Linked DNA regions of Oryctolagus cuniculus. The main gene of each other region encodes a partner of the protein of the gene in region 3 in a complex. Links are inferred from orthologs where the notes say so. Each region holds a gene or a part of one and is shown on either strand. Other genes may lie near its edges. The genes, in order: AKAP10, SLC15A2 and PDZK1.

The links.
Region 1: the proteins of PDZK1 (region 3) and AKAP10 are in contact, whole or in part, in a crystal structure (PDB 3TMH), measured with the Homo sapiens proteins. The link is inferred for Oryctolagus cuniculus from reciprocal best matches to the Homo sapiens genes PDZK1 and AKAP10. Residues at the interface, in NP_001188254.1 of Homo sapiens: Asn386, Gly387, Tyr388, Gly389, Phe390, His391, Leu392, Asn393, Ala394, Ile395, Arg396, Phe402, Lys404, Tyr436, Glu437, Val440, Ile443, Gln444; in NP_009133.2 of Homo sapiens: Pro655, Leu656, Glu657, Lys658, Ser659, Thr660, Lys661, Leu662.
Region 2: the proteins of PDZK1 (region 3) and SLC15A2 are in contact, whole or in part, in a crystal structure (PDB 6EZI), measured with the Homo sapiens proteins. The link is inferred for Oryctolagus cuniculus from reciprocal best matches to the Homo sapiens genes PDZK1 and SLC15A2. Residues at the interface, in NP_001188254.1 of Homo sapiens: Asn386, Gly387, Tyr388, Gly389, Phe390, His391, Leu392, Asn393, Ala394, Ile395, Arg396, Gln407, Tyr436, Glu437, Val440, Ile443, Gln444; in NP_066568.3 of Homo sapiens: Glu723, Thr724, Lys725, Lys726, Thr727, Lys728, Leu729.

What each region holds. Positions count from the first base shown.
Region 1 is NC_091448.1:60,475,089-60,478,596, forward strand, and holds part of AKAP10 (A-kinase anchor protein 10, mitochondrial), read left to right. Parts: intron 1-568; coding exon 569-751; intron 752-3,210; coding exon 3,211-3,508. UniProt on the Homo sapiens protein: Differentially targeted protein that binds to type I and II regulatory subunits of protein kinase A and anchors them to the mitochondria or the plasma membrane.
Region 2 is NC_091435.1:78,166,435-78,170,725, forward strand, and holds the start of SLC15A2 (solute carrier family 15 member 2), read left to right. Parts: upstream 1-1,488; 5' UTR 1,489-1,628; coding exon 1,629-1,733; exon of another isoform or gene 1,734-2,213; intron 2,214-3,516; coding exon 3,517-3,604; intron 3,605-4,199; coding exon 4,200-4,291. UniProt on the Homo sapiens protein: Proton-coupled amino-acid transporter that transports oligopeptides of 2 to 4 amino acids with a preference for dipeptides. Transports neutral and anionic dipeptides with a proton to peptide stoichiometry of 2:1 or 3:1.
Region 3 is NC_091438.1:49,176,962-49,181,063, forward strand, and holds the start of PDZK1 (Na(+)/H(+) exchange regulatory cofactor NHE-RF3), read left to right. Parts: upstream 1-1,302; 5' UTR 1,303-1,389; intron 1,390-4,102. UniProt on the Homo sapiens protein: A scaffold protein that connects plasma membrane proteins and regulatory components, regulating their surface expression in epithelial cells apical domains.

The DNA.
Region 1 (3,508 bases), on a different chromosome or scaffold from region 3:
TTTGATAGTATTGTAATATTGAGTTATCTCCAACACATTGGTAGTTAACTTTATTCTGAAGCCTGAAGGACAATATTACTTCTTCAGACTACAAAAGAAAATATTTATTGTGAGAGTACATTACCTTAAGTGGCTTGAACTTTAACCATTAATGTATTTTGTTAGAATAATTTTATTACTCATTTAAAAAATAATTATTGTGAAAATATTTTTCTAGTCCCACCAAGCCAAGCCTTTATTCTGCATTTTTAGTTTTGCTTCTGAAACAAGCAAGGACCAAGGCATTAGAAGAAGTCTGTTTCAGAACACTTCCTAGCTTTGGTGCTTTCATTCTCAGTAACAATTCTCAAAGTTCTGTTTAATTTTCATTTCTGACACAATATTTTTAGAGTTATAAATAATACTGAAATGTTTCTTAGCTATTTTCTGTTGTGTAAGTTACCTTTTTTTAATTTTTGTTGGGTGTACCAACTTGAAGTATTACAAAATATAGTTTTTAAAGTTCTCTTATAAGAGTTTTGAACCATTAATTGTGTTTAATTTTTAACAATTTTTTGAAAAATTATAGCTTCAATATCCGTACATTCCCCACAAAAAAGCACTAAGAATCATGCCTTGCTGGAGGCTGCAGGACCAAGTCATGTTGCCATCAATGCCATTTCTGCCAACATGGACTCCTTTTCCAGTAGCAGGACAGCAACACTCAAGAAGCAGCCAAGCCACATGGAGGCTGCTCATTTTGGAGATCTGGGTAAGTAACTTTTTGCTAACTTGCTTTTTAAAAAAACAAAATATTTATTCATTTGAAAAGCAGTGTTGCAGTGAGAGGGGGAAAAACAGAGAAAGAGAGATGTCTTCTATCTGCTGGTTTATTCTCCAAAGGGCTGCAGTAGCCAGGGCTGGGCCAGACCAGAGCCAGGAGCTAAGAACTGCATCCAGGTCTCCCATGTGGGTGCAGGGACCCAGGCACTTGGGCCATCTCCTGCTGCTTTCCCAGACACATTAGCAGGAAGCCAGTTCTGAAATGCGGTAGCCAGGACTCAGACCAGCACTCCGATGTGAGATGCAGGCATCACAAGTGGCAGCTTAACCTTGTCCCTCAAGGCTGCCTGCCACCTGTGTTAATTTCTAATAGGAGGGAGATCTTGAGTACAGTACATGAAACTGCTGTCATAGGAGAGTGAGCTATATAATTGGAAGGGGCTTTGAAAAAATGGGTTTAAACTAAAATCACAGCACCAAGTATAATGGATGGCCCTATGTTCTCCTGTATATACATAAAACATGTCCAGTAGCAAAATGAACAGTTTCTAAATAAATATATTTAACTGTTTAATATAAATATATGAAAATGATATTTCATTTGGCTAGTGTTCAGGGAAATGCAATTTAAAATAATGAGTTACTCCTTGACACATTAACATATTTAAAGTTTGCCAAGGCTTTGCTGTTTCTTCCTAAGTGCTTCTCCAAAAAGATTTTGCCAGTATGTTGTCATCAGTGTGTAGGAGTGTTGCTATTTCCCTTGTTAGTATTTGTTATTAACTAAATTTTTTTCCATGGGGGGGGGCATTTGGTCTAGCAGTTAAGATGCTGGTTATGTTGTCTAGATCCCACATCGGGGTCCCTGGGTTCGATTCCCAGCTCTAGCTCCTGATTCTAGCTTCCTGCTAATGCAGATCCTGGGAGAAAGAGGTGATGGCTCCATTAGTTGGGTTCCCGCCACCTGCATTGAGTTCCTGGCTCCTAGCTTCAACCCCTTGGCTGTTACAGACACTTTTTTTTTTTTTTTTTTTTTTGACAGGCAGAGTTAGTGAGAGAGAGACGAGAAACAGAGAGAAAGGTCTTCTTCCGTTGGTTCACCCACCAAATGGCCGCTATGGCCGGTGTGCTGTGCCGATCCAAGGCCGGGAGCCAGGTGCTTCCTCCTGGTCTCCCATGCAGGTGCAGGGCCCAAGCACCTGCCTTCCCGGGCCACAGCAGAGAGCTGGACTGGAAGAGGGGCAACCGGGACAGAATCCGGTGCCCCAACCAGTACTAGAACCCGGTGTGCCGGCACCGCGGACGGAGGATTAGCCAAGTGAGCCGCGGCGCTGGCCTGTTACAGACACTTTTGAAGAGTAAACCAGCAGATGGGTGTCCTCTCTCCACCTCTCTAATAAATAAATATTTTTCCCTTTCTATAAGCAAAAAATGTCAGCTTTTTTAAATTTGCTTCCCTGGGATTTTTAATGGGGTTGAATATTTTTTCATATTTTTATTGGCCCTTTTTCTTTCTTTGGAACTAGTATCATTTCTTTCTGAAGAATTTACATAATCTGAATGGCCTTAAAAGAGATACTAGGATTAATTGAGTGATAGAACTTTTCAATAATTTAAATAAGTTTTGGACAGTTGTTTCTTTACTTTGTTTAGAAACTAAAACTGATTTTTTTTTAGTTCTTTACTCATTTTAATTGTTAGGAAGTAGACTTTTTTAAGATTTGTTTATTTAGTCATTCACTCACTCATTCATTCATTTGAAAGAGTGACACAACATGGGGAGAGGTGGAGATCTGGTTCACTCCTTAACTCCATTTGGTTCCCACATGTGTGAGAGGAACCCAGGTATGTGGGCCATCTTCCACCGCTTCCCAGGCATATTATCAGGGTGTTGGATTAGAAATGGAGCAGCTGGGACTAGATCTGGTGCTCTGATATTAGATGCCAGCATCACAACTGGTGGCTTAATAATGCCAGCCATTTTTTTCTTCTAATTTTTTTAATTTATATATTTGAAAGGCAGAGTGACAGAGAGAGGGAGACACACACATACACACACACACACTCACTCACTCTGTCTTTGCAGTAGTTCACTCCCTAAATGCCTGCAACAGCTGGGTTTGTGACAAGTGCAAGCCAGGAACCAGGAATTCCATCCAGGTCTCCTACCTGGGTACAGGGGCCCAGGCACTTGGGCCATCTCCCACTGGCTTCCCAGGCCATTACCAGGGAGCTGCACTGGGAGCAGAGCAGCCAGGACTTGAACTGGTGCTCCAAGATGATGCTGGCATCACAAGCAGTGGCTTAACCTGTTGTGCCACAGTGCTGGCCCCAGGAAGTAAATTTTATTCAAGACCTCTGGTACCACTGTTGCTAAAAGTGATAGATTCATCTGTTGCCTAAAATTGTTTGTACTGAACTGCTAATTCCTTTGTTTCTGACTTTTAGGCAGATCTTGTCTGGACTACCAGACTCAGGAGACCAAATCAAGTCTTTCAAAGACCCTTGAACAAGTCTTGCACGATTCTGTTGTCCTCCCATATTTCATTCAGTTCATGGAACTTCGGAGAATGGAGCATCTGGTTAAATTTTGGTTGGAGGCCGAAAGTTTCCACTCAACGACTTGGTCCCGAATAAGAGCACACAGTCTGAACACAGTAAAACAGAGCTCACTGGCTGAGCCTGTCTCTCCATCTAAAAAGCACGAAACTACAGCATCTTTTGTGACTGAGTCTCTTGATAGGAG
Region 2 (4,291 bases), on a different chromosome or scaffold from region 3:
GCCGGCACTGTAAGCCAGGGCTTTAACCCATTGCACCACAGCGCTGGCCCCTTAACTAGTTATTTCTGACTGCTCATTTGTTTTACATACAGAGTGATTAACAAAAAGAATAACTATGGTTATTCATTAATACCACATTCAGAAATGAAGCTGGACCCTCCTTTGGGTACAGGTTGGTGGGAGAGAGAGGAAATGAAGGGTGTAATAGAAGCGGAGAAGATGTGGTCAAAGTCTGAGTTAAAGTTTAGGGAGGAAAAGACCTTATTTGTCAATGAATTATTCAAGTAGGTAATGTAAGAATTCTATTTTGCAAGAAATAGAATCATAGGTTTTCTCTCTCATATTCTCAAAGCAGTTTATTCTGGAATTGCCAGACTTCCTTGTGGTTATGCCTTTGCATAACTCTTAACCATTGTTTTCTCTTTTCTTTTGACTGACAACTAGAGGGACACCATGCTCTTGTTCTTTCCCTCCTTGACATAGCAAAAATAGCATGGTATAAAATGCATCTATTGTCATCATCTTTGTTCTCGTTTCTTCTCTGATAATGTCTAAATATAATATTCTAGAGTAGTTAGAGAGTCCATCCACTGAGAATTAAGAAAAGTAATGTTTGCACTGGTACCTAGAACATAACTGTTTTTACAGACAGTACCTAGAACATAATTTTTGCACAAATTAAATTTTATTTCTTTAATGAAAGGGGGTTTCATCTTGAAATGAGAAAATGAAAACTGACTTTAGCAAAGAAAAATGATTCCCAAATGTACATTACCAATCTTTTCCTCTCATTTTCTGGACCCCCACTTTTTAAATTGCTTAAATGATATTTTTAGCTGACCTTTACAATATCAGTAACTACAACCAACTCCTTTTACCTCAAGTTCAATTTTGTGATGACCTTTCCTCTTTAATGCATTTCAATTCACCTACATTCCTACTTCCATTTACATAGCTTCCATACCTGAATAATGGCCAAAGTTTCACAGATAGCAATCTCTACCCTTCCTATCATAGCATAATAAAAATTCCACATTTATCACTTACTGACAATGTTACATTGGAAAAATTTCTTAATTTCTTCGAACATTAGTTTCTATAAAACAAGGATAGTAGTAAGAAATAGAACAAATACTTATGTTATATATACATATTACATATGTACTTCACATATATTTATATTAACCTTGCACATAATAGGTGCTCAATAAAGCAGCTACCGGTACCCTCATATCAGTGTTTTGATCTGTGCTCAGGCACTCTTTTCTGAGCTATCTTGTAGGTATTTGCAAAGGTAATCTTTCTGAAATGTACATTTCCTTGACAATTTTCTAGCATTGGCTCATCACTCTTGTGACTTGTAAGGTGTTTTCCTTTCCCCATGTTTACCTTTTATACAATCGTTCTTTTAAACTAGAACACCAGCCCTTTCTTTTCCTATAGCTTCCTGCTTTGCTCTCAATCAGGCAGTTACTGAAACTGACACCCACAGGGTTAAACCTAGTTGCTGAAACCACCCCTTCTCCCCCCCCCCCCCACACACCCAGTACCCCTTTTCACTGTAGTCTGGCAGCTGTCCTAACTGCCTACTGAAGCCAAATGCTTGAGGAGAGAGAAAGAAGCCAGCCATGAATCCCTTCCAGCAAAATGAGTCCAAGGAAACTCTTTTTTCACCTGTCTCCACTGAAGAGACACCACCTCGACTCTCCAGCCCGGCAAAGAAGACACCTCCGGTAAGTCTCCAAATTCAGTTCGGCCTCTGGCAGCAGTAGCTGTCTTCTTTTGGCTTCTGTCCATGGCCTCTGAAGCTTCAGGCTGAGCTGTGCTAGATTATTAGAACTATTCTCTCTTGGAGTCAGAATTCACCTGCAAACAAAATCTAAGTCGAAGCTTCCTTTACTTAGAAAAGGAAACAGCAAGAAGAGGGAGTCAGAGTTCTACTGGGATCCAGAGCTCTGCTGTATTTCATTGCATTTTTGGAGTTTCTCTAGGAGGGAAAAAGGCAATTTGAATGTCCAGGGAAACTTGGCAAGCATTCCTGTCTAGAGAACTGTGTGTGATTGTTCCTTCTTTACCAATACAAAAACTCAGCCCTTAGTTCCCCCGGTGTACAGAGCCTTCTGCTGGACACCAACAGAAGTTTTAGATGAGAGCCCATCTCTGTTACTGTGTGTTCCCAGTTTACAGTGGGAGGTAAGACAAAGAAGCTGTAATGTTTTGTATTGCATGCTTGTTAAAACACTTCCAAATTTATTATTTCATTTATCCTCATGCCAAAATCCTGTAATTGGAGAGGATATAGTAATAATATCCAGGATTTACTGAATCCTTACTGTAGGCCAAGAGGTAGTATTATTCTCATTTCTTTGGAGTAACAGAGCTAAGGCATAGAGACAGATGTAGCGATATGGCTAGTGTGTCAGTATGTTAACACAGCCAGCAACTGTGTTACAGATAGTGAAGTACATTAACCAAACTCTTAGTTGCAGGATTCTCCAACTCTGAGCTGGGAAGATAGGATGCCCAGTTCTTTGTGGTGCATTAACATACTTTCATAAATTTGGAGGATTGTTAATGAATGTCTATATATATGGGTAAAAGAATGAAAGTGCTAATTTTTTATAAATATTTTTAAAATTAGTTATATCACTTCTGGTTCCAAAGTATTGAAATCTGTTAACAAAGATGTGTATACCTCCTATGAAATAAGAGGCAATATAAATCTTATGATAAGATTTGACTGTTTCAAGAACAGATATCTCCACCTGCATCTCATGTGACTTATTATAAAGGTAGAGGTTGAAATAAAACATGACATTTCTTATGTCTTGATTGGTATAGTGCATGATATAACATAATCCCTTTAATGTCCAGTAAGAATATCATGAAAATTTTATAGAATATCCTTAGTAGGAATAGTGGGCATTTAATTTTAGGGGACCTAAGCACTTTGACCAAAGTCTAAGTAATCAGTCAGCTTACCTTTAGAAATCTCTGCCTTCCATATTGAGCCCTGTGTCTGGCTCCAGCAGCCTCTGAGGGGGAAACCAGCCTAATTCCAGGGTTTCTCCCAGTAGGGCAAATGAACCAGATGCAGACAAGAGGGGTAAATCCCCAAAGTAGCACTAAGCAGGATACTATCTGGATTTCAGGTACTCACTTCATAGGCCACCTCTTCATTCTGTTGCTAGAAATAAATATGATTATTCTTTAGCCCAGAGACCCAGTCATTTAACAATTGTGGGAAATCAGCAGGTCCTAGAACAAGAAATGTATGAGCAGTAGCATATTAAATAAATAAGGAACAAGATAGCATCCCATTAGTTTCTGTTACTCTTAAATTAGAAATATGAGTACTTTTAATGTGATAATAGATGTTTCATGAAGGGTAGAGACCATTGCTCCATATCACCCATTATAGCCACTTAAATAAATGAATCTCAGTTGTGGAGCAATCTAGTGTTTAAAGTAGACAAAAATAGCTCATGCTTGAACCATTGCCTTTCTGTTGCACAGAAAATCTGTGGCTCCAACTATCCACTGAGCATTGCCTTCATTGTGGTGAATGAATTCTGCGAGCGTTTTTCCTATTATGGCATGAAAGGTAATTTGATGTCCAGGGTCCTACTCACCCCATGTTTTTAACTCCCCGCTCTCCTTGTGTACACTTATTTCCCTTAACTACTTTTTCTGCCTTGGTCCAAATTGGTCCTTTCCTTCAGCCAAAATCTTCAGCAAATGCTTCATAGGATTTTATATAATAGCTCATGCAAGCCAAGATTTGAAAGACCTGACAGAAAGCAGGACACAGCCTGTGAGAACCTAGGCGGGAAAGCTCTCATCATCACAATTCCATTCCTGACACTTGTTTGTCAGGTCTAAAAATCATATTGTCGCTTGGGAAAGAGGAAAAAGAGAATCTCAGAATCACCATGTTGTCTTTGTAATTGTCCTCAATGCCATTATGAGTGCACATAGACTGAAGGGGGAGTATTTTATGTGTATAGTCAGTATAACCCTGTCGACTCCCACGACTCTCATGGCCCTGCTGCTACTGCCTGGTGGCAGTCACCCCTTTGTTACTTCACTGATGGAAGTGCCAAAAGCCAGGAGCAACTTTAAAGACCAGAGGTCGAATATACTTCTCCATGTCACTGTAACATATTGATCTTGTTTTGTCTCCTTTTTTTGCACCGTAGCTGTGCTTACCCTGTATTTCCTGTATTTCCTGCACTGGAATGAGGACACCTCCACATCTGTCTACCATGCCTTCAGCAGCCTCTGCTATTTC
Region 3 (4,102 bases):
AGGGTCATGGTTAAAAAGCACTGATCTAGGCCCAGACTGCTTATGTCCAAATGCTGGGCCTAAAAACAGTTATGGGACCTGGGTGAGTTTCTCGGGCTCCTGGGCCAGGTACAATGCCCAGCGCTTAATAGGCGGACACATTTGGCCAGTGCTTTGTGAGCACCCATGGCAGGTTAGGCATGGCAGGGCAGAGGGAGATCACTAGAACAGTCTTCAGCTGCTGTCATGGACAGATACAGTCTCTAGAGTCGGAACAGCAGCCTTGACACCAGGTACCCCTGGGCAGATGTAGTGCCCTCTCCAAAAACGAGTTTGCTGATCTATAAAATGGTGATAGTGTTGTCCTCCTGGGATGATTGTGGGGGTTACGAGAGGTCACCTAGGTAACAGAGTGGCACACAGCCAGAGCTCAAAAACAAAATAAAGTTAGCCATGATTATTATTATTATTATTATTATTTAGAATTTATTATTTGAAAGGTGGAGTTACAAATAGTGAGAGGAAGAGACAGAGAGAGAGGTCTTCCATCCACTGGTTCACTCCCCAAATGGCTGCAGTGGCTGGTGCTGGGCAGATCCGAAGCCAGGAACCAGGAGCTTCTTCTGGGTCTCCCACAAGGGTGCAGGGGCCCAAGCACTAGGACCATCTTCTACTGCTTTCCTAGACCATATCAGAGAACTGCTCCAAGAGGAGCAGCCGAGACTCGAACCGGCGCCCATATGGGATGGAGGCATTACAGGCCGGAGATTAACCTACTGCGTCGGCCCAGCCTGATGATTTATAGGGGTTCTTCACATTGAAAGGAATATACAAGGTCCCAGGTACATCCACATACACGACTGTGTTTAGTTCTTAGAAAGCACTGAGCTGTTATTTAATTTATCCTGTGTACTAAGCATACAGAGGCTAGGAGAGATCTTGTGACTTCACAAAAATCACACTTGCTCCGCGCAGGAGCTAGGATGCTAAGCCAGGTTAGGAGAGTCTTGATCTTGGAGTCTGGTGTCTGTCCTCGCCCAGAGCTGCCACCCAGGAGAGCTGTAGTAGCAGCAATCAGGTCAGAAGCATAATCCTCAGGACTAGGAGAGGGGAAATTCTGAATGAGGCGTGCGGGAACGGGATTCGGTGGGTGACGCAAGGCGGGGAGTGGGGCATTTGGCTTCCAGGACTGGCTTGGCACCGGGAAGGCGCTGAGAAGGTCATGTCCCTTCTCTGGGCGAGCTTCCTGAGGGCTTGGTGCAGCGGGATGGGGGTGGGGGTGACGCGGGGTAGGGACTGCTTCCAAGAGCGCACGCGGGAGCCGGCTCGGCTCGCAGGCTCGGATGCGGCGAGACACTCAGCGGCGTGGCCCGGCCTCGCGGTACCTAAGGCCGAGGGAGAGCGGAGCGTGTAAGCCGTCGTGGGCCCTTCTTCGGGGCTGGGGGCAGCCGGGGGCAATGGGGCCAGGGTGCGCTTCCAAGAAGTGACCTTGGCGCCCCGCAGCGGTAGCACGCCTCGGTAGTGCGGGCCGGGCCCCGCGGCTTCTGCACTCTGACCGCTAGAGGGCGCTGCCTTCCAGCCGCAGCCGACGCGACCTTGCACCTGCGCCCGCGCGGGTCAGCGGCCAGGAGCGCGGGGAGGGGGTGTGTGTGAGCAAGGTGGGTCCCGGGGATGCAGCCAGAGGGAACTGGCTTTCTGAAGTGGGGCGGGGAGGGGGCCAAGGAGTCTGGGAACTTGCTGAGCTCCCTGCGTCCTAGAAGGTGGCGATGCCTGGAGCGGGAAGGAGGGTGCCGATCAACTTGGCATCCTCACCCCTGAGTCTTCCTTGGGGCCCCTGAACTGCTTTGGATGAGGGAGAGAGGGGTTGAAGGGGCTATGGGCTCTCAGAACCGTGAGGCAGCTGGGCAGGAGATTGCAGAGGACAGCACACTGCCCCCTCCCCCAGCCCTTTGCGTACTGGTCCTGGAGTCTTCACGTGATCTAGGACGGGTTACTTTACCAGGCTCAGCTTGTGTTTGAAGCTCCCTGGCAGGACTTCCGAGGTGGTTAAAAGTTAGAGGTTTGCCCAAGGTTTTGTGCAGAGTGTGGACTGTCTGATGCGACAAGATAGTGAGAAAGCAGCTTATTCCCCCTGGAACCAAAGCCTGGATCTAGCCTCTCAGAGGAGCCGGGGGTCAGCTTTGAGTTCCACGGACACCTCCCGGAGTCCGCATCTCATTTGCAGCTGTGAAGGGACTTCCCACCCTGCCACCCTCCATAACCCAAGTAGAACCAGGCTTGTGAGCAAACAGAGCTTCTGCCCTGACCCCTCTCAACACAGCAGAGTGGGGCTTCTTGGCTGGGGTCCCTCTGGTGGTCTGTTGAAGTCCGTGGAGCCCCCCTCTCAGAATAACATTTGAAAATTCATGAAATAAAATACAGAGGATAACAAAGAAAGCAAATCGTCTTAAGACGTTAGAAGCACGAGTGACCCAGGAGATCCATGCTTCTTAAGACCCAGTGCTGGCCCAGTTACTCCAGTAATTTCATAGGAGTCATGAGCATGAATGATGCTTGGCGAACTCGGCATGAACTCTAATGAGATTGGAAAATACCTGCGATTTCTATCAACGGCAAATTCTACTGTGATTTATTGCCTACATTCATAATAGAAGCAACTGCTACCTTTCACGTAGAGACAGGTGAAAATACAGATGTATTTTTCCTCCCAAACTCACAGAGCCCAGGAATGAATGTATTTATGGTTAAGGATGAATGAATGAGTCATTCTCAGTTAAGAACTGCTGCGGTCCAGGCTCCACGGGTGGCACAGGGCGGGGGTGGGGGAGAGGGAATGAGGCAACCATGCCTCCTGATTCTTCGGAGGAGGTCTTTGGAACTTGAGGGAAATTATCTCTAAGCCGTTTTTTTTTCCCCCAGCCCAGAATGTCTGGGTTTACTCTGCTACACACACTCCAGTGGCTGGGAGCCTGCCTTGCTGTATCTATCCCCAGGGCACACAATCTTAGGTCCCCCTCAGGGCCACCTCCAAGCTCCACGGAGCCTTGAGGGTGGGACTGTCCCAGCCCAGGTCTGGAGGGTTGATCTGGTAGAGGGTTGATCTGAATCTTGGAATCTTGGTAACTTTCCCCCCTGGAGTTCTTTCTCCTTCATCTCCTCTGTAGTAACAAAAAGATGACCCCTTGACATTCACCTGCCCCTCCCCAGCGCCTAGCAGAACAAAGTGCCTGGAGGAGTGGGAAGACTCCTCCACGCGCTCCCTCAGCCGCTCACCATTCAAGGAACCTCAGGATGGGCCAGAGAGTCCACAAAGAACATGGCACCGGCCACCCTCACAGGCAGCCCTGGTCCCCCCGGACTCCGGAGGGCAGGGAACTTTCCCCTTCAAGAAGCAGCTTTCCCGGGGACCTCCCTGAAGCCACCCCGCGGCTCCGACCCCGGGTCCCCGCCAGGCCTCTTTACCTCGGAACAGAAGTCTTCTTCCCTCTCTCCGCCTCCGGGCTCAGGCTGAAGGAGCTCTCAGCCCTCAAATTACTCTTTGGTCTTTTAAGCCCCATCTCCCCACTTCCGTCATCGCTGGCCTTCATCACTGTCACCGCCAGTCTTTGAAAACCACAGACCGGGTTTTAGCAGTCAGGGGTCTTCCTGCCTCTCTTTCCCCCACCCCCACTGAGGACTCACCTCCTCTCTCCCCTCCACCTCAGCCTCCAGTTCCTCCCCTCCTCCTCCATCCCCCCTCCTTTTTATTATTTTTAAGATTTATTTTTATTTATTTGAAAGAGTTACAGAGAGAAACAGAAAGACAGCAAGGTCTTCCACCCGCTTGTTCACTCCCCCATAGCCAGGAGCTTCATTTGGGTCTCCCATGTGGGTGCAGGGGCCCAAGCACTTAGGCCATCTTCCACTGCTTTCCCAGGTACATTATCAGGGAGTTGGATCAGAAATGGAGCAGCTGGGACTCGACCCTGCGCCCATATAGCAAGCAGGTGGAGGCTCAACCTGTTGTGCCACAGTGCCGGCCCCTCTTTTTTATTTTTGCATTAGAAATAGACTAAGATCCCGAGAGGGCTGAGAAAAAACACCCTTGAAATTATCTTCTGTACCTTGAGGCGTGGAGCTTGGT